Styela clava: one gene and its partners. The protein of the gene in region 1 purifies or fractionates together with the protein of each later gene. This does not show direct contact. Links are inferred from orthologs where the notes say so. Each region holds a gene or a part of one and is shown in the gene's direction. Other genes may lie near its edges. The genes, in order: DNA-directed RNA polymerase III subunit RPC8-like; DNA-directed RNA polymerases I, II, and III subunit RPABC5; DNA-directed RNA polymerase III subunit RPC10-like.

Evidence for each region.
Region 2: the proteins of DNA-directed RNA polymerase III subunit RPC8-like (region 1) and DNA-directed RNA polymerases I, II, and III subunit RPABC5 purify together in Homo sapiens (affinity purification with mass spectrometry; 4 studies listed by BioGRID and IntAct, with this or other methods). This does not show direct contact. The link is inferred for Styela clava from reciprocal best matches to the Homo sapiens genes POLR3H and POLR2L.
Region 3: the proteins of DNA-directed RNA polymerase III subunit RPC8-like (region 1) and DNA-directed RNA polymerase III subunit RPC10-like purify together in Homo sapiens (affinity purification with mass spectrometry; 3 studies listed by BioGRID and IntAct, with this or other methods). This does not show direct contact. The link is inferred for Styela clava from reciprocal best matches to the Homo sapiens genes POLR3H and POLR3K.

The regions. Positions count from the first base shown.
Region 1 is NC_135263.1:3,398,719-3,407,485, reverse strand, and holds DNA-directed RNA polymerase III subunit RPC8-like, read left to right. Parts: upstream 1-2,801; 5' UTR 2,802-2,804; coding exon 2,805-2,933; intron 2,934-3,675; coding exon 3,676-3,772; intron 3,773-5,284; coding exon 5,285-5,371; intron 5,372-6,143; coding exon 6,144-6,223; intron 6,224-6,774; coding exon 6,775-6,966; intron 6,967-7,729; coding exon 7,730-7,783; 3' UTR 7,784-8,400; downstream 8,401-8,767.
Region 2 is NC_135252.1:12,673,782-12,681,518, reverse strand, and holds DNA-directed RNA polymerases I, II, and III subunit RPABC5, read left to right. Parts: upstream 1-4,764; 5' UTR 4,765-4,829; coding exon 4,830-5,033; 3' UTR 5,034-5,497; downstream 5,498-7,737. Other genes in the region: transmembrane protein 256 homolog, read left to right, coding at 5,498-5,842; nucleoporin NUP35-like, read left to right, coding at 6,100-6,112, 6,544-6,668, 6,910-7,052. UniProt on the Homo sapiens protein: DNA-dependent RNA polymerase catalyzes the transcription of DNA into RNA using the four ribonucleoside triphosphates as substrates.
Region 3 is NC_135259.1:10,999,071-11,007,837, forward strand, and holds DNA-directed RNA polymerase III subunit RPC10-like, read left to right. Parts: upstream 1-4,363; 5' UTR 4,364-4,516; coding exon 4,517-4,581; intron 4,582-5,165; coding exon 5,166-5,260; intron 5,261-6,244; coding exon 6,245-6,411; 3' UTR 6,412-7,556; downstream 7,557-8,767. UniProt on the Homo sapiens protein: Core component of RNA polymerase III (Pol III) which synthesizes small non-coding RNAs using the four ribonucleoside triphosphates as substrates. Can mediate Pol I proofreading of the nascent RNA transcript.

The DNA.
Region 1 (8,767 bases):
TATTGGATATTTACATTCCTTTATTTTGGATAATTTCGCCCCATCCATGTATTTTCAATGTGTTTTTTTTATAAAACATACTTCCTATTTCTTACTAATTGTTCTTCGTAGCTTATTGTTGGCTACCGGTCGTTATTTTTTAGGTGGTGCGGGAGACTTGACTAATTCCAAGAAGTGGCTTTGAAAGTTTGAGAACCACTGGTTTACAATAATTATTTTTGATCGTATTTGATATTTTATGCCTAATCAAGTATGTTTTTTTGGGGCTCCCGAAGTATGCGAACCAAGATGACGGACATCGGAATGTAATATGTGTACTAGGTTAGGGTTAGGCCATAATTTTAGGTATAAATACTACGGGAGGCTCTTGGCTAGTCTTCAAACTAATAATAGGACTAAAATAAGGAAAATTGGAAAAAAATTATCGCCTAACTCTAACCTGTTACCCATGTTACGTTCCGATGTCCGCCATCTTGGTTCGCATACTTCGGGAGCACCGTTTTTTTGATATGATACAAATCGTGTCAAATTATTTTTTGATTACTGAATTATGTCACAAAGCACTTTTTCTATATTTCTACATATTTTATTATAGTATCAATCACACATTATAAATACCTCTTACAGAGCTATTCCATGTTCACAATGGGTGAGTGTCCTGCATAAGCCATGATCACTATATGCAGGGATGTCCAACAAAACTAATCGAATATTCGAATACATGCAATTTAATTATTTGATATAAAAAAAATTTGAATATGGAAATAAATAAAGAATATTTGGAGATTTCAAGCTCTCAGACAGGCAGATCAAAGCGTGTCATATTTTGACTGATAACGAACAACACAGAAAAACAATGATCTTCATATTTATGTAATTTCAGATGTGATCAACCGTATGATTTTTCAACTTCCTCCAATTTAGAATGTCTTTGATATTCCATATTCAAAAATATTTTTTAAGAATGTTTTCGGAATAGTGAAATATGCTATTGGCCATCTCTGGCTGTATGGTTAAAATTCTGGTACCATCCATTCAGTAATTTCCCCAACACGAATTGACACAACACAACATCAGGCGGGCCAGATTGAATTACCCAACCGGGCAGATTTGTTGGCCCGCGGGTCGCAGTTTGCGCATTTCAGTTCTAGCCTAAGAGAATGTAACAAAAGTCAACAGTCCTAAAAATTTGGGGTGGTAACGTTTTTCCTCCAGGATAAATATGCAAAATCCTATCGCAAGTTCCAATGAACTACTTTCATTTATTTCACTCGTATAAAGATTGTACTGAGTTAAATTTTGTTATTTTTCTGACTAATCTGTCTACCATCGCCAATGATTCTGTCAATCAGTGCACTTAATTAGGAATTTTGCCAACAATGGATGTTCAGATGTTTTTTTAAGATTTGTTGCCACATTTTTCATACAATAATTTTTATTCTACATAATGATTTAAACCAGGGGTGTGCAACCTTTTATCCAGGTGGGTTAAAAATTTTGGGCATTGATCTTATGACAAGCGTTGCGCGCTTCGCAAAAGCTTGCTGTTAGGGCATTGTAGCATCATAGGCATAGGTAGTAAATTGGATTGAACACAGCGGGTTTGACATTACGTGCACGTACCAGATTAGACTAAATTAGAAATTCGCTACGTGGGCCGCACACCATTTGAAATTGGCATTTCTCCGCAGGCGCACAATTTTTATTTGTGGGTCGCATTTGGTCCGCGGGCCACACGTTGCACACCCCTAATTTAAACTTTTCCATGTTATAAATACGATTTTGTATCTCTAAATCTGTAACAGCGCCCCCTCACAGATAGAACCGATTATACAGATTGTCCAAAAAAATTCGCTCAATTTCATAGTAATAACATTTGGAAATTTCTTCATTCCGTTTCCTAATATTGTTCTTGTAGTTCTTATTTATCATACAATAAAATTTATTTGAACTTACAATTGTTATAGAATCGGGCAAAATTTTCAAACACCCTGTATATTAAGAGGACCTCCAGAAGTATGCACACCAAGATGGCGCACAACCTGAACACAGTATGTGTGTACTGGTTAGGATTCAGGTGGTGAGACATCTTGGTGCGCATACTTCTGGAGCACCAAATTAACCCTTTTTTTGGATGTTGGTTTTCTAAATCCTACCGGTCGACTTGCTGATTCTACTAACTGATTTTAACAACCTGTTCTGAGCAAGTGTAATGGAGATACTGGTAAACTTATCGTAGTTGAATTTAGATTCGCATATTCATAGTTTACTTTTTGCTGAATAAAATAATAGTCCAATTTGAACTCAATTCCCCCCAGTTCAATCAAGCATAATTTGCCAGAATATCTCAACCTTGGTGAAGTTTAATAAATTCTGTCAGGTCACACTTGATTGCTAGTTAAAGCCAGACTAATACATTCATATTTTACTCTTTGTGTTATCATATCCATATTGTTCAATGAAAATAATTCTAATTAGACTCACCGTAAGCCCCTGTGTTCAATCAAGCCTAATTTGTCGGAATATTCTAAACCTCAGTAAAGTTCAACAAATTCTGTCAGGTCACACTTGATTGCTAGTAAAATTTAGTCCCACATCCATATTTTACTCTTGTGTAATTATACCCAGTTTGCTGAATAAAAAAGTTTCACAACACCTCTTGTTCAATCAAGCATAATTGGCCAGAATATAATAAACTTTAGTGAAGTTTAATAAATTCTGTCGGGTCATGCTTGATTGATTTTATTGCGAGGTTAAGTCAATTAATGGTGTCTATTTACTCAGAAGCCTAGATTAACCCATGTATGACTAGTGATGACAAAATGTTTTTTGTGATTGAAATGACGGATACAGTTAAGATCCAGCCTTGGTTATTCAATGTGAATCAACTTGATGCAATATCAGTGGAATTGAATAAGAAGCTCGCTAATAAGGTGAGTTACCTAGGTTTTCTGTTGGTTTATCTTGGTAGATAAGACGGCTCAATCATATGACATGACACGGTATCCGGTACAGTTACTAGTACATGTCTGGTTTGGGAATAGTTTACTGATTATTTGTTTTAAATGTATGGACTCTATGTATGAATTGAAATGTAGGCCTATAGGGCGTCCATTAGGTCTTTAAGTTGCAAAGGGAATTTATTGATACCATATATTGTTTTGGACCTCACAGATGTATTAGATAAGGTAAAAAAACTTACAAATACTAATTAAAAAAACAACAAACCTGGTTAAGGTATATTGAGAACTGACTTTATAACAAAATTGAAATTGTAAAGGAACTTTATGGATATCCTATATAACTTATAATGTGTAGAAACCTGGTCAATTACATGACATCAACCATGGCAGCGAGAAGTTAAGTAATCTCCTTTCGCATAATCATTCTGTACATGATGTGAGCAGGGTCATCAAGGGGTCAATAAAAAGCGAGTTCTAATAGGTTCAACATTAGTATCATCGGAAAGCAATTTTTTTTAAGAATTCAGACTGGTGTTATTTGTGCATTGAAAAGTGTGTAGATGGGAATGAATTTGGTGGGTCGTATGCATTCTGGAAAGATTGTATTCTATCAAAATACATAGCAGTATCTTACATTCAATTGCTGCTTATGTAGAGATTTTTTTGAGTGAGCGCACCACATAAAACATAAATTTTCTTTATTTTATTATAGGTTGTGTATAATGTTGGCCTGTGCATCTGTCTATTCGATATTCTAAAACTTGAAGACTCTTATATTTTTCCTGGGGATGGAGCTGCCCATACTAAAGGTATTGTAAAAAGCAGATGCAATTCAATATACAGTGTGTCCATAAAGTCTCTTTACAATTTCAATTTTGTTATGAAGTCAGTTCCCAATATATCTTAGCCAGGTTTGTTGTTTTTCATTCTGTATTTGTTCAAGTATTTTTACTTCATTCAATACATCTGTGAGGGCCAAAACAATACATGGCATAGATAAATCCCCTTTGCAATTTAAAAAAAAAAATTCACGACTTTATGGACACCCTTATACTATTTCTTAGGTACCAATTGTATGATTCAACATTTAATCCATCATGCTTAGTGGCGGCTGACCATTCCTGTGCTGATTACACAATGCGAATTTAAATAAGATTTTAGAATTTCTTGCCTATGTTCACTGAATGACTTGCTGGGGCATTCAAGACCTTGTCCAAACACCCTTGAGGCAAGCGGTCACAGGTGGGTCCAAAGTAGGTGGTGACGAGGGGAAAGGGACGAATAAGATGCCTACAAATCAAGGTACTCCCGAAGTATGTAACCAAGATGGCGCAGACCGGAACATAGTATGTGTACCAGGTTAGGGTTAGACCATACCTTCAGGTACAAATGCTATGGGAGTAACTTGGCTAGCCCCTGAACTTGTAATAGAACTAAAATAAGGAAAATTGGAATAAAATTATGGCCTAACCCTAACCTGGTACTGTCTGGTACACATACTACGTTCCGGTGTCCACCATCTTGGTCTACATACTTCGGGATACCAAAATAATATCCTAAAGTGTTAGGCCATAACTTCAGGTACAAAGACTATGGGAGTCACTTGGCTAGTCCCTGAACTTGTAATAGAACTAAAATAGGAAAATTGGAATAAAATTATGGCCTAACCCTAACCTGGTACACATACTGTGTTCCGGTGTCCGCCATCTTGGTTCACATACTTCTGGAGTACCAAAATAATATCCTAAAGTGCTTTCTACTATTATAATTGCATTTGGTAAAGTTAAATTCTTTTGTGTATATCCTTCAAAAATCAGTTTTGAATGATCTATTGACCAACCATGCCTGATCTGGGCCCAAAAGCCGATGATTATACCATTGCTGTTCACATTCATAAAAACTAAATGTTGACACATTTTGTAATGAATATGAGGCTTTGTATTGATTTTAACATTCCTCCATGCTTTAAAAATAAAACTAAACTTGAACTGACCATGATTCATTCAATTTTAATGATACACCTTACTTGGTACTCAGCTCAGGGTACTCCAGAAGTGTGTTACCAATATGGAGGTAACTAATTTCGTTCGCCTATTTTATATCAATGTATGGACAGGGACTGAAACCCAAAATCGGAATAAAATTGGGGCCTAACCCTAGCCTGGTAAACATACTACGGGAGTACCCAGCTCAGGGCCCGAATATTTCACATTATCAGCGAGAGGTGATAATCAGTAAGTCAATGTCTTGAGCACTGCCACTAAATGCCTTCAACAAACTGGAAGTTTTTTCTGACCTGCACATTTTCTTTCTCATTTCAGTTCGCTTTCGATATGTTGTGTTTCGACCATTCGTAGACGAAGTTTTGATCGGAAAAATTAAAGGTTGCAGCAGAGATGGTGTCTGCGGTAAGTTTAAACATTACGTTTCAGTAATCACTATTTATTTTTTAACCATTAAGAAAATATACTTTATTCGAACAGTCTAATGAACAAACTTGAATATGGCATTCCAGGGTGAAAGGTGGCGCGAGAAACCGAAACTGGTTAACGGGCATTGTAAAGTCTAACAGTAATTAATATATTAGAGAGAATAGAGTCAAACATTATATCATGAAATAAAGATTACAGCATAACAAAAAGCAAAACGAATACATACAAAAATAAAAATTCTGAGCACATTATTAAGCACCGTAACCATAGGAACAGCATTCTAAAGTCACAGCGGCACTAAATGCAGTAACGGTATCCGGGGTATTGCTTTGTTAGGTTTTATATGATGAATATTATATTATACTAGCGGAGGTTGTTGGTGATGGAGTCATTAGAGAGTCCACATTTTAAGCTTTTTGTGAGGAAATTTGCTAATTCAATGACTCAGAAATGAAATATACTCAACAGCAGGGGCGTAGCAAAAAATTTCCGAGCTGGGGGTTCTGGAATTTATATTTGCTAAGTTAGATCGAAACAACTAGCGGATTCGTCAGAACGACAGAAAACGTGTGTTTTCATGAATCTTGAGGGTCTAAAGAGCGTTTCAAGCTACGACAAATTGCTATGTATGATACAGAAACATGCTATTACTTTTTTTACATTTCAAAAGGGGGGGGGGGGGGTTTGACCCCCAAAACCAGCCCCCTGGATATGCCCCTGCTCAACAGTATTACTTGTATTATTTCAGTTACGATGGGATTCTTTGACGACGTTCTCATTCCGCCAGAAAATTTGCAACAACCTTCAAAATTTGATGAAGCAGAACAGGTAGGAGCGCATTTATTCTAACATGAACAATACATTTAAGCATGAAGGTTTTTACTTATTGCACAAGAATTTTGAAAAGTTCACTATAGCGACTTCATATCTGTGATTGTACAGATCTTGATTGGGGTGTGTCAACCCTGGAATGATCGCGTTAGCCACTAACCCTGGGTAACATGGGTAAACTACGACCCATGGGTACTTCAATCTGTCCTGTCTGATGCTGCAACAACCGAACTGAAACCAAATTTTGAGGTTTTAGCTAAAAATAGCTCATGAAATTTGTTGGGATTAGTCTTATTTTTTTATTACACCAACATAACACACAACATAGGTGCTTAAGCAACAGAATAAATTAGCGAGTGACGCAACTGCGACGCGTTAACAACAGACAGATAGCACAATCAATTATTAGGGACATTATTCAACGAGGCATTATTAGCCATCATCAACAACTTCATTCTGTATGATTTATTTTTTTATATTTATATTGAAATTGGCCATGTCTTATAAATAAGCTAGATGTGTGTTTGTATAATAACAATTTTCTTCAGGTTTGGGTTTGGGAATACGAGACAGAAGATGGCACTCACGAGTTATTTATGGACATTGGGGAGGAGATTCGGTTTCGTGTCATGGAAGAAACATTTGTTGATACAACACCGAGTTCTGTGCCATCTAGTGACCCCGCAACAGCGGAAACTTCAGTCGAGGAAACGAAGAGCAAGACTCCTTATTCAATTGAGGTGGGTTAGATAGGGGTTCCCCAAACTTAGGGGTTCCCCAAACTTTTTGGGTCACAGACCCCTGTTAGTGAATAGTATTTTTGACTGACCCCTCTACTCTCGCTCCGTATCAATTTATTTGCCTAACAAACGAGGAAGGATAGCGTTTCATTTGCAACACAACAACACAAATGACATTACTGTGAGGATGAGGTTGCTTTACAATTTATCAATTCTAGGAGCAAGTTGTGACAAGCAAACTCTGATACTCCCGAAGTATGTGTACCAGGTTAGGGTCAGGCCATAATTTTATTCGGATTTTCCTTATTTTAGTTCTATTACAAGTTCGAGGACTGTCTGTGTTAGCCAAGTGAATATACCCATAGGTTCCAGTCCCTTTACACAAATCGATGTGTGAAGTAGGCGAACAAAATTAGTTACCGCCGTATTGGTACACATACTTTTGGAGCGCCCAAACTCGTTTAGGAAACCCGGGGTTAGGTGGTAACTGGTAGGGGTCGACCAACACTTCCGGCGTCATGGTTGGTTGATCGATCGTACATGATTTTGGGCGAACTTAACGACATGCTAAAAATTTTCAATAACTGGTGTTTATGGAGGGATTGTTTTGCGTTCTGAAAAGGGGCACATGCCCAACGGCGATATTCTCTGGAGTGAAATATATTTTATTCGCAACTGCAACAGTGATATCAAAATGTTCGTTTTAATAATTTTTTACTTCTGAGAGATTAAAATTTTTAATATTCTGCTCTCATATTTTCAGGCTTCAATTACTGATTCCGGTCTTGGTTTATTATCATGGTGGAACAATGGCTGAGGAATTAAAGCTGAGAGAAATCGAATTCTGAAGATGCAGTGTGAAAGCTGCCATGTTGAAAGTTACGAGGACATCCATACACCCAGGCTGTGCTTGTGTGAAATCCGGGGGCAGCGGCTATATTTAACATAGGCTTTCTAGTAGTTTGGGTATCGATCTTATGACATGGGTTGTTCGAATCGCACAAGCTTTTTGTTAGATCTTTGTATTGTAAAAATAGAACAAAAACTAAGCGATAGGGCAGATTAGGATAGAGTGTTTCACGTAACCGCAGGCAGGTTATGGCTTCCTCCACCATCAAGTCCATGCATCTGAAAACACCTGGATAATAACTAATCCCATAGTCGACCGACATGGACTGGTAACCAGAAAAGGGCTCTATTTTGCCATATGATTAAGCCTTCGTATAAGCTTTCCTCCTTTCTGGGATAAGCATGTAAATCTTATTCACAAATAGGAGGAAATATTGTGATATGTATAAGATTGTTGTATTACTGATATGGCAAAGTAAAGTAAGTAAAATATGGTGCAATTCAGACAATATTCGTTTAAAGTTTTGCAATAAAAATAATCAATCATTCTTTGGTATTGGATTGAAATATATCGAGCACACCTGATATTCTGTATTGTGATATTCTGTTTTCGAATTAAAAGTGGGCATGGGTAGTTCCATGAGTCTTTTTTACCTAACTTCTCACATATCACTGACGTTCTTTCCTTTTTCAGTAATATGTCCATGCTTTGGTATGTCTGAGTCTGTCACGAGCATACTTGAGCAATAACCTTATATTTTCAGAAGTAACAAAAGTTTTTCGAACTATATTTTACAAGGACAACCCTAAATATAGTTTCAATTTTTCCTGGTGTAATCGAATAGCTCGCGGTGCCCCTAGGTTCTTCTCGTGAAGCACTTTGAGAAACTATGCACTATCTTGCATTTTCAAATCTGTACTCATTGAATAAATATCACTTCTACGTGTTTCC
Region 2 (7,737 bases), on another chromosome or scaffold:
CAGTTCAATTTATTAATTATCACAGCCTCCAGAACATGGCCAAAAACATGAAAAAATAACTAGATACCATACATAATCTTTATGCCACCATTCGCACACCGAATTTTAATCTGCTACGGAGTCAAACAACTTTGAAAATCTTACTAATTCTCAAATAAAACTGAATTGTCCTCCCAGTCATGGCATTTATTGACGCCAGTCTGTGCGGCTTAGGGCTTAAAGGTAAAATAGGGGTATAAAGAGCTGGATATTTTAAATCCATGGATTTTGTTCCGTATTGGCGACGACAATCCTTCTTAACTTATGCTTGTATTTGCTATATATACTTCAAGTTGCCGTATTCCCTGGCTAATAAGTCGCTTTTCTAGGCCCAATTTTTCAGCTCGATTTCAGGGAGGCCGTCTTATTGGGCAGGTAAGCTTATTTTATTTTTCTGTGGTCCGCTTATTTTCTTCTCAAACATGATTTGAATTAACGTTATATTTGGATTGATATATTTCAATATGTAGGCTACTCGTTGACGCCAAAGGGTCTGCCAATCATGATATTTAACAGCGATCGCTGGTAAAGGTAAGATCGGGCCCCAAAATAAACCCGACCCGAGCCCGACTGATTAACTGGATTTGCAGGTCCGACCCGGGCCCGTGGGTATTAAACCTGAACCGAGTCCGACTAATTAACTGGATTTGCAGACACTTTTCTCGCTCAAGACAGATTTTCGAGCGTGGTCGTAAACATACCGCGTTTTTGAACTTTATTCGTTAGTTTTCAGTTGTGTTTCGGAAATATAAATCAGATAATTCAAATATCACTTTGTCTTCTTAGGAGTTTTAATTTAATTGCAGCAATAAAAAATTAGTGTAGAAAAAGCTGTCATAGACTTGGCTTAAATTCTTTGCAGGTACTTTTGAAAACAAAATGTTGTATGCAATGAATTATAATGATGGTTTGAAACAAATACCCCATTTTACTCGAAACCACTCTCAAAATAAAATAAGTCCCGAAAATTTTGCAATGCTAAAGTATAGGAAGAATATTTTCGAGGGTCAAAAGTCGGGGAAAAGTCCGTTACAGCTTCTTCTCTGTTTCATTCAAATTATTTCTTTTATAACAAGTATTCCTTAGTATCCACACATAGTTAGTCAGATAACTGAGGCCTACACGCGCCACAATATCGCATTGAGAGAATACCTTGACGCAACATTCAAGCGTAACGAGAGAACTGTGTAACATAAATAAACAAAGACGAAAAAAGCGTGAGCGAACTATATTAAGTGACCTATGTGTTACAGGCAAAAATTTCACTGGGGTGAATTAACTGTCATTATGGGCGACCTGTTTATGATGTGCTATTTAAATTACTTAATGGACTAAAGAAGGAGGGCGCAGCGCGCCGGGCGAATTCCGACATTCTTCCGGCGCAACGACCGTGGTGCATCCATCAAACCCTAGTATATATTTACGATCAAACTCATAATCAAACATCCACTTTTTATACTCAAATCTTTTCCTTACATTTCCCCTTGCGGGTAGCGTAGCGACCGTCCCCCGGGTGTCCTATTTATTAGTGTAGAATACAGTGCAATAAGGCTTGGTCTCATCGTTAGTCTCATGAATTTGTTAGTGTGCAGCAAGACTCCTAGATCACTTAGGATTGTTATCTCTACTCTTGCTACAGCATCCTTGCAATATATGCATACGGATCCACCGGCACAAAAGCATAGAAGAAGGATAAGTAGTCTTGCAGAAACCAAATAATCAGCGTATATTATTATTTGATATTATTAAGTTAACTATGAAAATACGGTAACTGGGGCTGAGAGTGAAATTAACCGGTTATCCACAGCGTGGCGCTAAAGATTATATAAACTGTTTCTTTAAAAAGTGGGATGAAGGAGTAACGGTACGGGTATTGATTTAATAGTGCAAATTTAATAGTGCAATCCTCCCATAATTGTTGGTATTATTGAAAGCTCAGATATGCAGGTAGATGTGTCTGTTCCGATGTAGGTATTTACATGCATTGGGGCAGTGTCATTTGGGTGCATATCTGAGTAGAGTATGAGTCCCCTCCCCGATATTCGTTCACGTCACATTTACGATCACAACCTTTCAGCACCCTGTTTTGGCCAAACTAGAAATAGTGATAGATTCCCGCTCGGTATACATAATCCATACCTACTCGCCTACCTACAGCTCGCTTCGCGTCAAATTTCGTCCAAAAATGAGATTTTTCTGGGTCAAAACGCCACTAGTGGTCGAAAATGACCAATTTTAGAGCACGAAACCTCTTTTTCTATTTCAGGAAGAACGGAAGCATATGTGGAGGTTAAAATAAAGATAGAGCCGTGAAAATTGGAGGGGAGGGAGAAATTTCATCCACTTCTTCCTTTTAGTGTTCAGCTTTTTAGTGACTTCAACCACATCAACACCCGTCGGGAGAAATTTCATCCACTTCTTCCTTTTAGTGTTCAGCTTTTTAGTGACTTCAACCACATCAACACCCGTCGGGAGAAATTTCATCCACTTCTTCCTTTTAGTGTTCAGCTTTTTAGTGACTTCAACCACATCAACACCCGTCGGGAGAAATTTCATCCACTTCTTCCTTTTAGTGTTCAGCTTTTTAGTGACTTCAACCACATAAACACCAGTCGGAAGAAATTTCATCTACTTCTTCCTTTCAGTGTTCAGCTTTTTAGTGACTTCAACTATCTCATTATTCGTCGGAAGAAATTTCATCCACTTCTTTCTTTTAGTGTTCAGCTTTTTAGTGACTTCAACCACCTCATTATTCGTCGGAAGAAATTTCATCCACTTCTTCCTTTTAGTGTTCAGCTTTTTAGTGGTTTCAGCCACCTCGGAAGAAATTTCTTCCACTGCCTCGTTTTAGTGTTCAGCCTTTTAGTGTTTTCCAATTTTTCACCTTCGGGAACACCTCAACTTCCGTTTTTCCTCCACCTCATCCGTTTCTTCTTTCAGCCTTTCAGTGTTGTCCCAAATATACGTTGTTGATCGCAATTGCCCCACTGACATGGTGAAAGTAGAGGCGGTATAAAGGGTTTTCCGGTCACGGTACCGGCATGATTTTAAGGGAAGTGATTGAGATGGATTTGTAGAGTATGTTAATGATAAAATGAAGTGTTTTCTGTGAATACAAAGCATATTAGAAGCATTTTGGTAAAAATGATCGCATAACGGGGAGGGGACTCTATGTGTATTAAATTTAAAATTTTTTGTTAAAAAAAAAAGAAACGGGTACCGTATTAATTACCAAATATACAGATATATGAGTAATTTCAATACTTTTTCAGGGCAAACATCGGAATATACAGATTTTGCATGATTGAATTTACATATTTTTTTGTAAAAACAAAAACTATTGTGACTGGCGAATAGGTGTCGAATTTTGCAAGTGACTGATTTTTCTCGATAAAAGTTGGTATTTTTTCACCATATTTTTCAAAGATTTTTTTTGTCAGAACTTGCTATACTTTTCTTTTTTAATGAAATTCTTTATTCTATGACAATTTTATCATTTTTAATAATACAAAGAGTAATACTATTTGACAATCTACGGTCGATCAACTCGCCTTTTACATTTATTTGACATTGAATATTAGGGGTAAAATATCGCGGATCAATTGAAGAATTCTCACTGATAGGACGTGTCAAATTCAGCAAGTGCATAAATAAACTGAGTCAAATAAACTTATACTACACTTTTTGATTTTCGCAATGGGGCTTGCCTGTTTTTTTCCACTGTGATTTTGTTTTTGTAACATACAGACATAGTTTCAATCCTAGCGTTTTATAGGTTGTTTCACTATTGCAGCCTGTGTTCAAATTCTAATTTTGAATGATGCAAAGAGACTCACTTGCTGTATTTGAATTGAATTAACATTTTAATGTCAGTTTCTACGACTGGAAGTCTGTATGAATTCTAATTCAGTCTTATAATTGAATTACTCAAATTTAGATTCTGATCTTATTTTTTTGGTCGAGCAACAAATATTGTACATTTGAAAAAAAAATGAAAATGAGATAAATTTAGCGAAAAACATACAATATTTTAACTGCATTGGACTAGTGGCTGCGAAAGACTATCAGTGTAAGAGAGAGGCTACCATTTTTCATCATACTATTTTAAAAGCCAATTATAAATTGTTTTATGGTACTAAGTTGTTAGAATTCTTGTTTTTGTTGTTAAATACCGGACTAGTTCTGTAGTTGCTTTAAAATTTGTATGCATTTATCTGTATTCAATTTGTTTTTTAAAGTAAACATTAAGCAATGTATGTATGTTTACTCGTCTCGTAAAAGCAATATAGCCTAAAATGATTAGTAATTATAAATACTGAAGACTGGATGTATGCACTTTTGCTTTTGATATGTATAAATTCTGAAATTGTAATACGGTAAATCAAATTTGTATAATATGGACTTTATACAGACAGTTGTGCAAGGAGGGTGGGTGTGTGTGATACCAGGGTGGAGTATACAAAACTGTTTACAAAATTAGGTTTTTAGAAAAAGCCTGAAACTTGACAAGTGCCTGGTGTTTTCATTAAGTATTCAGAATTGCCATGTTTTACTATTTAAATATCAATTATACATTATTGAATTGAAAGGAATATTGCGATATAGAAGGTGCAATTTTATTCAATGTCTAATAAAACTCAAACCCCAATAAACTACGAAAAAAATGAAAAAATAAATCTTAAAAGTGATTGAATTCGCAAGTGCCTGTTTTTAGAGAGACCTGTTTTTGAATTTTGTCCTATGATTTATTCAGATTAACTTTATAACTACAGATCCATTTAAAAGTAGGCATGATTATTCCTATAAGATGTTTCACATGTGGAAAAGTAGTTGGAAATAAATGGGAAGCTTATCTCGGACTTTTGCAAGCTGAATACACTGAAGGAGATGCGTTAGATGCCCTTGGACTGAAACGATATTGTTGTCGTCGCATGTTACTGGCTCATGTTGATCTTATCGAAAAACTTTTGAATTACGCTCCACTTGAAAAATAATTTGAATTAGCTCAACTTCATAAAAATTGTAAAGTATGGACAAAGATGTTTGAATTTTGGAATACGAAACTGTGAAATTATAGGTCAGCTTTCAATCCGGACAATGGTGAATCATTGCAATATCTGAATATTCTACTGTTTATATGAAACCTGAGGTATCAGATCAATGTAACTGATGTCTAAATGATGTTAGAAACCTATTGTATAATATTTGTTGCAGAGCATAAAACTGGCATGATCATATTCGTTATTTTTTAATATACGGCAGCATTGTATGTTATAACTTTTCATTTGTGAAGTTATTGCGAATTGTAAGCACCTATTTGTCATATTTTGTCTCAAGATAAGTGTGAGTTTCTGTGTGCTTATTTCATATGGACTTTTATTTACAGAAACTGTGTCATAATGTGTTCCACTAAATTGTGAATAATCTGGGAGGTTGAAAAAAGTGTTTTTTTCCTTAGATGGCTTCTTATTATGGTCGATTGTTTGTTAGAATTGCTGGAATATCTGGTGCTTCTGCAGTAGGATTAGCAGCATACGGAGCACATGGTATACATAAAGAAGATGAGCACAGAAAACTTATATTTGATAATGCAAATCGACAACATTTCTTTCATACTCTTGCTCTTCTGGCAGTGAGCCGATGCAAATATCCATTACTAACTGGAGCGATACTGACTACAGGAATGCTTGTGTTTTGTGGAAGTTGTTATTACCAATCAATAACAGGAGACAGTTCAATTCGACCCATAACACCATACGGAGGAATTTTGTTAATCGTGGGATGGCTGTCTATGGTGCTCTGACATTGGCTGTGTTACAAACACTATCTGTTATATTTTGCAGAATTTACCTTTTTAACATGTAAAATGCAACATATTTTGGGATTCAATCCATTTATGACAGTCGATCATTATTAATAATGTTTGAAATTAAATCTTTTCAATCATATGTTGTCCTAATTACTTTTTGTCTTGTATTTGTATTGTAGGTTTTATTAAATAATTTTTCTTTATATAAAAGCTGACAGGGTAGACATTGACTTTTATTAAGTATAAATAACATGGACAATCAAGGTAAAGCTATCTTTTTTTTTCAAATGCAATTTGTATCATTCTAAATAGTATAGAGAAACATTCACAATGAATAATAATAACATGTTATTATATTTTATCCCTTTAATTTTTTTTTTAAAAAGTATGACGGTAATCGCCGCCCATTGCTGAGCTTTTTGATTGTATGCACTATGCATATTATTAAAATAGTGTACGTTAAAGAGTACTCCTGTAGTTAGGGCTAGGCCCTAATTTTATTCAGATTTCCCATATTTCAGTTCTATTACGAGATTGGGGACTGTCTGTGTTAGCCAAGTGAATATACCCCCTTCACATTGGTTTCAGTCCGTTTACACAACTTGATGTAAAGTGGGTGAATAAAATTAGTTACCTCCAAATTGGTACACACACTTTTGGAGCGTTCATTAAAGTACTTATTGATTTTACCACAGAACCAATGATGTTGGGGTCTCCTGTTGGCCACCATCCATCACCATCAACAAGTGGCTTACATCACCAGCATGGTGGGAGTCAATTTTTACCTGGATATCTGATGGGCGACCCTTCAGTGACCACAGTGAGCTATAAATTTATATCTATAAGCCTATGCTTATCTCTTATCAGATAACATTTCTCATTTTCGTTCCGATTTAGGCTTCGAAATTTTTTAAACCTCTTTCAGAGTTCAGTAGGCGCTGATGTTTTGGGTCGAAGGACGGTTTTTAAATGAGGAAAGAAACCATTCCTGGAATCCTTCAAAGTCACTGTAGTAAATTCTCTAACTTTTTGTAAAATTTATCTTACGTTTCTTTATTCAGACACCGGTATTAAACAGATCAATGAGTGGAGGCCACGCACATCATCCCTATATGAACTCTCCATCATTTGGAGGTTTTACTCCTAGATCTTCACCACCTAGTGCTACAATGTCACCGGGAAATAAGTTTGGCCATCTTATAAGGTTTGAGAATGTCAGATTTACTCTTTTACTACTTACTTGTTGGCCTGGGGATTGAAGTGTTATGGCAGGTTAATCTCCTGGGCAGTGTTCACTATTAGCGCACTTTTTTGCGAAAATTGCGAAGCACTTTCGCAACTTTTTTTAGGGACTGCGAAATAGCACTTTTTTCCGATTTTGAAGAGAAATAGCACTTTTTTCCGATTTTGAATGGAATAAAAATTCAAAGTTAACAAATTATTAAGAGTATTAAGTTGACAAATAAGTAACATACTAGTACTTTTGTAACTCAATTCTGCATATCATAACGATATTTACCGGAATTCTAACCTATGAGATGCAGACATAGGAGATAAAGCTTTTGCATTAACGGCAAAATTCTTGTTTATAATATGATTATTATACAAGCACACCGATTCCGCTTCTCCCGCAAAAACGCTCCACGTCTTTGAAACCAGATGTTGGAATACTACCAGTGCCTTTCTTTGAACAAAAGTGGTCATGTGACTATCAATGATATCGTTGAATTCAAAATGACTATAAAAGTGTTAGTAAAGCGTTATAGTCACTTTGGATGTATTGTGACCAAAGTGCACGATTTTCAAATCAGACGAAACTTTTAGCAGCATGTCACAGATTTGCAAAATCACCAAATTCACAAAATACCATTAAGTGCCATTTTATTGTA
Region 3 (8,767 bases), on another chromosome or scaffold:
TTGTTTTTATATATGAAGAGTAACACTATTGCATTTGAAACCAAAGTTACAGAACTTTTACAGTACTTAACATTATTTTTATCTACGAGTCATTGAAAAATATGTGTACTTGTTATTTTATCTAATTATCATGCACACTCAAGGCATATTGTTGATATTAAGCAGAGTAGTAAGTAGTTCATATTATCAAATTTGCATTTTTCTGTCATGAAATTTTTTAAAATCGAAACCGTATGAGAGCATTCTATGTTACAGCTGAGATCTATCTAGCTGATAATACACTATTTTTGGTATGGTACAAGCATGATATGAAGATGTTACTGATAATGTTTACAATAAAAAGTTTAATTTTTTTTTTTTTTGTTTCAATTTTTACTTTGCATATTACTGATACTTAAAATTTTACTGATTTCGATATGCTAACAAATCATGTATGCTTTTTTATTTTGCTAATATTATTATTAAGTCTAGTACTGATAATAATATAATACTTTTTTTTCTATCAATTAAGTCATTTTTTAGCATTTTTGGCTTTTTCTATTTGTAGTAATATTACATCGCTTTCTTTCATCTGTTCCATTTAACGACCAAAATTGCGCAATTGCATTCCGATTGGTTGGGAAATTGATGTAATCAATGAAAGAGTGATATACAAACAACTTGGCTTTCTTACCATGTTAAGAATTGTGCACCATTCAATTATAGTCCACCACTCGCACCTAATGCACTAGTACATTTTAGATTTTTGGAATAACAAGTGTTCAATTGAATCAAACAAAAAAGTGTTTAGGTTCGACTTATAATTTTCAATTTTGTGAACAGGATTAGTCTTTTTTGGACGCTTGCATTGTCCTAGACACCATTCCACATTTGTATTTTGTTTGGTATGTTTATGACTAAGACAAGTCCCCTTCCATTTATCTCATAAAACAACCAAAAGGTATAAGAATAAATGCATTCAGTTCAGATTTTAGTCTAGTTTTTAGCGTGTATTCGGTTATTAAATGACAACATGACCTAGGACATTTGTTTGCAAAATGATCATATTCTTTTTTTTTTGTAAACATTGATACATTATATTTTATGGTCAAGGCATGACATGATATAAACATACTTTATAATTCAAACACATAAAGGCCATCAAGCTCATTAGAAGATTTTTCCAGTCAAGTCTAAAAGTCTTTGATTGGATGTGCATTTTCATCAATTTTGGACTGTTTTTATAATTTTTTTTTGGTGTATTTTTAGTATTAGTTTGGTTACTGGACTTGAATTGTTACTGTTAGGCAAAATACAGAGAATAAATTTTTGTCCTATTCTGATGAACAGAACAGCAAAGTGTTCTGTCCTATCTATGAAATATTTCGTATACATTATACGCTCTTGATTACTTAAACATTTTATATTTCTCAAATTTTTTTTGGTTGGACAGTATTGAATTGATTAAAAACTGTTTTCCATATTGTATCACAAACTACGAAAGTTTATTTATATAATCAATATTTGTTGAATATGTGGCATTATGGGTTAATTCAGACTTAATAAAACTATATCTACTATTGTCTATTCAGTTTTATTCCAAAAATAAGAGAAAAAATTATTTTAGTATCAAAAAAATATATATCATAAATCAAACGAAATTTTTGTCATGACGTGTGGTATTTCATTGCTCCTTTTTCAATATATCATTTTTTTACTTCTGCCTATTCTAATGAATTTTCATGAATTGCTTAGCTTATTTCTGTAATATATATCAACTAAATATACTAATTATGATATAAATCAATGAATTATCTCCTTGTGTTATTTCAACAAAAGGAATCTTACAACCATCAAATTTGACATGACTGTATTGAAAATGTATTCAAATTTGCTGGGGGATGTTACCCAATGTAGTGTTCCCTCTGTGAGATTGCCCTATTTCAGAAGTGGTCATACGGTATCGATATATTGTTATCCAAACTTGTTATGGTAAAGAAATTATGATTGGTTATATCCATCATCTGTGGTCTTTTACCAGTTATGTCCAATTTTGATGGTGTCTATATCTTTTGTCGAAATAGCCATTTCAAAATTATTTTTTTATGCCATGTTAAAAAATCAGAATTCTGTAATTTTTATCTATGTAACATTGCCAATTTTATCATCATCGATACACATTTTAAAATAGTACAAAAGTTTTGCAACATGGTACAAATACGAACGTTGTCTATTTTCATTTTGTTGTTCTGAGATATTTAAGGTGAATGGAACTCTTTCTCACCCGTTATCAGCAAACTGGTGTGGCGTATTCTGCTGAGCGTTAGGAATACACTCGCCACAGCACCTCTGATTACCCTGCATCGGTTCGCAAGTTCGAATCCTGTGGGGATAATTATGTGGGAGGGTACGCCGTGGGGTGGGTGGTCCACCTAACAACCCTAACCGACATGGATTGGTAACTGGACTAGAGGTGCACTGATACCGATATTTCAAAAAGCCAATAGTCTGATACCGGAACCAGGTAGTTATTACTATTAAGTGTGAATGGCAGACTGGTTAAAACGATGGTGTGTGAGCATTATTCATAATGCACAATATTTCAGTTCGAAAAATAGGTATTCGGATGCATTGTGCACTGACGCGAGTAATCTCGGTGTTCAATTAGAAAACTGGTAGGTTTGGCTACTATTGATGGTAGCATGAATAAATGTTTACTCATCCTATAAAACTGATACATCGAGTTGCGTGCGTTGGATTCTGTGCCAATATAACATCTTATTTCGCATTTTACACATTGAAAAATCCACTAATATTGATTGATATATTTCTACTTAATTTGCATGTAATATTGAAAATGTCATTGTAAAACTTTGGCAGCGAAAATAGCCAAATTAGTTGAGCTAGTTTGGTTGATAAATAGCTAAAACAGGTCGAATTCCTATTCCCTTTTCTACTTGTGTGGGTGTGAACGAGCATAGCCAGAGTTAACGAATTACCGCGGACATGATCCCTACACGCAAAAAAATAATAATTTCAACATCCGTATTACAACTAATTTTAAGACATTTTGAATCGGATTAAAAAGCTGAATATATCGAAAATATCGGTCTACATTTAGCCGATACCGATACATCTCTAAACTGGACGAGGCCGAGGGCATCGATTTCCGTAACAATGACCAATCAGCAAAAAGTCAACGATGACGTAACAGTTGAAATTTGTGACCGCATCTCTGATTACTCTGCGTGGGTTCGAATCCCGTGAGGATGAAGGGATAGTTTTGTGCGAGAGGATTGCTGGGCTTCTCGCCGCCGTGTGGTGGTTCACGTACCGTAAAATCGGGTAACTTTGGATGGAATTATCAATCGTTTATATCTCGGCTGAATTGCGATTTTAAAATAGCAACGACTAAAATATATACATCAAAAGTTTTCTGTGGATCTTAAATTCATGGCGTCAACCACTGATAATTTAATTAATTATAATAAAAATCACAATTAACGAAAAACATTTTCATTCGATTTGATGATTTCAAATTTCTCCATTTGGAACGGCAACATAGTTTAAAATAGAAAAAATCGTGAGAAGTCAAGAAATACTGCTTAAATATAAAAAAATATATATAACCAGCGAAAAATAACAACAATCATTGTTGCAAGTGAGTTCAGGTTAATGAACCCTAACGAAAGTAATTTAATTTAAAGTTACCTATATAGACCATTCAGTTAACCATGAATAGACCTTATTCATTAAAATCCCATCCTACGCGCAAATAGAAAAGTGATGTAAACAAAACAATTTCACATTAACTCCTAAGCGTACAAGAGCTATCAAAACAATATCGGCTATGATCGGGGAATATTTGGATCTAAAGTTACGATAAGAGAAAATACCACGAGACATTTTAGTATGAAAACAACTTGAAAGTGCCGCACTGGAAAGTTTAAGGTCGATAGATAGATAATGATTTATTTCCGATACAAGTACATAATACAATAAGCATGAGCAAATAACAATAAGCATCCTTATCCTTATCCTTATCCTCGTCCTTATCATGGCGACCGGGATCGAACATCTAGCATTTACGCAACGACGTAAAGTGTGTTTGGTCTTTTTAATCACGCACTTTATATGATGTATAAGTCTAATATTTTTTTTCGAAAAATTCAATTTTAGGTGGGATCCATTTTCTCAAAAGAAATACAGTATTATTGAAAATAAGAATATTCCGCGTGGGAACCGATTGTCAAACCTCAAAATGATTTTCCGATGCCACAAAAAAATTGTCACATAATCATCATAATGCTGTAGCACACCGGCTGTACGGTATGTTAATCGTTGGGCTGTACTGGAGCTGTGAAACAAATGCTTTAATTTTTATTTTTTTGAATTCCCACTACTGTACTACCTCATTCACTTTACAGACATTTCAATTTCAACATTTGCTTTAACCTTGTAAAACATATTTACAATAGGCATGTTCTGATCTAACTATCTGATTCAACTTTGCTATTAGGGTTCTCATCATTTGGCAATGTTGTTGTTCTGCCCTACTTGCGGGAATTTGTTAACAGTCGAGGAGGGGACTAGATGTTACAGGTACTGCACTTTATCAATAGATTTCTAATTATATTTTGAAATCCACATTTTTGCATTTATTCCTATTACTGTATTACAACTACTGATAGGTAACTCAGTAACTTTTGGATGCTGGAATTATAGCTTGTCGATTAAAAATACTGAAATAGAATTTTTTTGCTTCTATTGGTTTACTGACCTTTCAATTGAATTATTCATATTCTGTACTGGAATGTCACAATTTTGGATATAATTTGAGACTTGAAGCAAAAATGTGATGTTTTGAAATGTTGTTATTAAGTTGAGTTCACATCATACCAAGTTATTGGCAGTATTGTGTTTTGAATCTGATCTAATACCAGGGATGGCTAAAACCGAACATAATTCGCTTTACAGAAAACTTTTTGATATGATATTTGCCAGTATGAAATATAATAATTTGGATAAAAAGGAATGACGTAATTTTTGGATGACGTAGTCAGGTGGGGGTTAGAAATGACATATGCGAAAATAGTTATGCCATGCCAACTGGATATACTTGGCGGTGTTCAGTGAACCAGCCCTCTCGTGCTGTTTGCATTTTCACAATATTTTTTTGGTTTCAGGTTTGCTTGCCCAACTTGCCCATTCATTCATAATATTAATAGAAGAATAAGCGCAAGGAAATATCCAAAGTTAAAGGAGGTGGATGATGTGTTAGGTAAGTGTACCAACTACTAATGTAAAAATTTCTTATGATTATTTCGAAGTTCACTAAAAGTCCTAGAGTGTATGCGTAATAGGGTAAGAAACTTCATATCAATCCGAAGTGAATAATCATATGTGGTATCCTATCCATAGCTCAAGCCAGTTTTGTAAACAGCTAATCAATTAACCATATTTGATATAGTGATCTGAAATGTGTTGGGTATCTATTAATACAGTGGCCGTGATTGCTTTGTTTGAACATATTTGTAATGCATTTTTTCCAGAGATTGGAATCATTCAATAGTGAATATTTATGTATTTCATCTTCGCTAATAACCTCATTATGTAGATAGGTATGAATGTCTATATCTGTAGACCAAACGTAATCTCACAAAATTTTTTATGAGATCACACTAGTTCTCATGGTGTCTTTTTCAATATAATGTCTTTTGTCAGATTTGTCTCTAAAATTTCCAAGTGTCTTTTTTAAAGTATTAATATTTTTGAGATGGGTTTTATTACCATTCATATACTTAGTGATTCTGAATATTAGAGTTTGAAAGATTAATCAGATTCATTTTATGATGTTAGTCCCAAAGTTATTCGAATCCAACGTAAGCGGGGAAAGTATTTACATGAGATAGGTCTTCTAGACACCACGCTGCCCGTGGGTGGTTCATGTAACCACTGGTCAGTCATGGCCTCCTTGCACCATCATGGCCATGCATCTGAAACATCTGGTAACTTAGCTAGCCAATCCCATACCCGACAAACTGATAATCAAATCAGAGGTCGTGGTACGCCATTTTATTAATCAATCATCCACTTTCCTTTCCTCTCCCTTCGGATAAATATGAAATTCCCATCCTGTGTACTCACAAATAATACTTTTGAATCCCCTTTATTTTGCAGCTTTTCATTCGGTTTTCGATGTTGCAAATCTCATTGTATATTTTTTATTTTAAATTCAGTCATTCACATCTCTTTGGTTTTCCAGGTGGATCTGCTGCATGGGAGAATGTTGATTCAACAGAAGAGACTTGTCCAAAATGTGAACACAAAAGGGCATTCTTCATGCAAATTCAAACTCGATCAGCAGATGAGCCAATGACAACTTTTTATAAATGTTGTAAGATTGAATGTGGTCATCGTTGGAGGGACTGATTTGGTCAATGTAGCACAAAACGATATGGATCATCTTGAGTCGGGAGGGAATGATATTAGAGCAGAAATTGGAAAATGATTACTAAGTGGATGTCAATGTGTGAAAATAAGAATCTGAATTCTTCACAATGCTCAAATTCATTAATAAGTTACAAGCTTTTTATAATACACCTTCATGCATCACGAAACTTGTATTAGAGTAGAAGGATTCACAGTTTCCATACTGTAAGGTTTCCAGTTTGGTATGGACACTACTACCAGCTTGGGTGAGGTTCTGATTGAAAAATTCTCAAATATCATCTTGAATCTCTCTATCACTTTTTGTAATGAAAGTCCGCAATTAGTAATAAAAACAGATAGTTACTTCATTCAGATAACATAGAACGCAACTTTCGTAATTAATATTTTTTATATATATTAGAGACCAAAATCATAAGTGCTAAGGGCCCACAAAAGGTGTGACATGGCCCTAGCGATAACAACCTGCTATTCTGCTGATACAAACATGCGTGGTAAGGTTTTCAATTTTATCTTGTTTTGATTATGATTTATATACGATCGATCGTGGTAAATCGTCAAATTTGATCTGTTATTGATTCCTTTCCATTGCAGTCGATTGGTTGTTTTCAAGATATGTAATAGAATCCCAAGGATATGCATTTATTTTAGTGGAATAGAAAACTGATTGACCATACCTATCATTGATTACCTTACATTTCATCAGAAAAAGATGGCGTGTGCCCTCTACGCAGTTTCAGAATGAATATAAAGGTACATCATCATACGCACAATTTGCTGCATATCATCTGTAGTGCTTGCGATAACATATTTTATCTGGTCCGTGTAGTCTGGTTGTCCATCAGCCCTAAACAGCTATGACAGTCACTGTACCGAAAGTTGTACCCTAATTCAGGTGGTGTTAAGTTGACGCATGTTATTTAGTAACGTTTTTATGTGAAATGTTTGGCTGTGGTACCTGATACATTACATAATTGACTTATAGCACTAGATATTTCAATTGATGTTTCAATATAATCAAGAAGAATGAATCATTGTCACAGGACCTAAAATATCCATGACAGTCCTTGTACCGTCACGGTACCCCAATACAGGTACTGATAAGTCACCCATATGATTTTTGGAGAATTGTCTGCGTGTCCATACATTTGAGAATTGCTCTCTTGTGTTGTTCTTGTTCATTGACACGTTTTGAAGAAATCGCTTTTCTCTTTGAATACTGGACCGATTGCTTTGAAATTTTCAGTGGTTTAAAGATGGAATTATTTTCCAGAAGGCTATTACTTTTATTTTTTGCTATGATCTAATCTAAATTATGTGACGCTACGTGTCCACATATTTGAGCATAGCTCGCTTGTTCAATTTCAGATAACATGTCATAGATAATAACCAGCTTCATTATTATTATATATATATATATATGTAGGACTCTAAAATCGTAAGTGCTTAAGGCCTCTAATAGCATGATCCGGTCCCAGAAACAGGGGAACGGTTTGTCGCAGCTTGCTACGGTCACGCATTGCAAGAATTGTTTTATAGCCACGCAGCTGCTGATAGCACACATTCGACAGGTATTTGGCGGCAAAATCATTTGGTAACACACTGCCTCTCCCCCTGTTACTTACCACTTTGTATTTTTCATGTTAATTCCGGAGGGGAAGAAAGCCGATTGTTTAATGGGCGTAATCATATGTTGGTACATAGTACCTACGCCACCCAAACTATATAGCAAAGGTCTCGTGGAAAATGCTACCAGAAAATATGATGTCTGGTATTATAATATATGTGATAGATAGTTCTGCAGCTAGCAGTTCAGAAATAATATGAAAGCGATGCAGGTGGAAATTTCCAGGCGTGCCCTCGGGATAAAAGTATGTAGTCGACAAAGATAATGGACCTTTCCCCGAGCATTGACTTCTTTGTTTACTTCGTGACATTGGTCAATCAGCAAGATGCAAAAAGTGACGTAACCATGCTCCCTTTCCGCTTAGACACTTTTCTCACTCAGAGAGGTTTTTAAGCATGGTCGTAACGACGTAAACATTACCTTGTTTTCGAGTTTTTGAACGCTATTCGTTAGTTTTCAGTTGTGTTTCGGAAATTTAAATATAAATCAGATAATGCAATGATCACTCTGTCTTACTAAAAGTTTTAATTTTATTGCAGTAATAAAAAATAGTGTAGTGATAGACTAGGTTAACATTCTTTACCGGTACTTTTAAAAAACAGATTGTTGTCTGCGATGAATCATAATGGTGGTTTGAAACACATACCCCACTTTACAGGCGCCAACTCGCAAAAGCACTTTAAAATTAGCCCCGAAAATTTTGCAATGGTA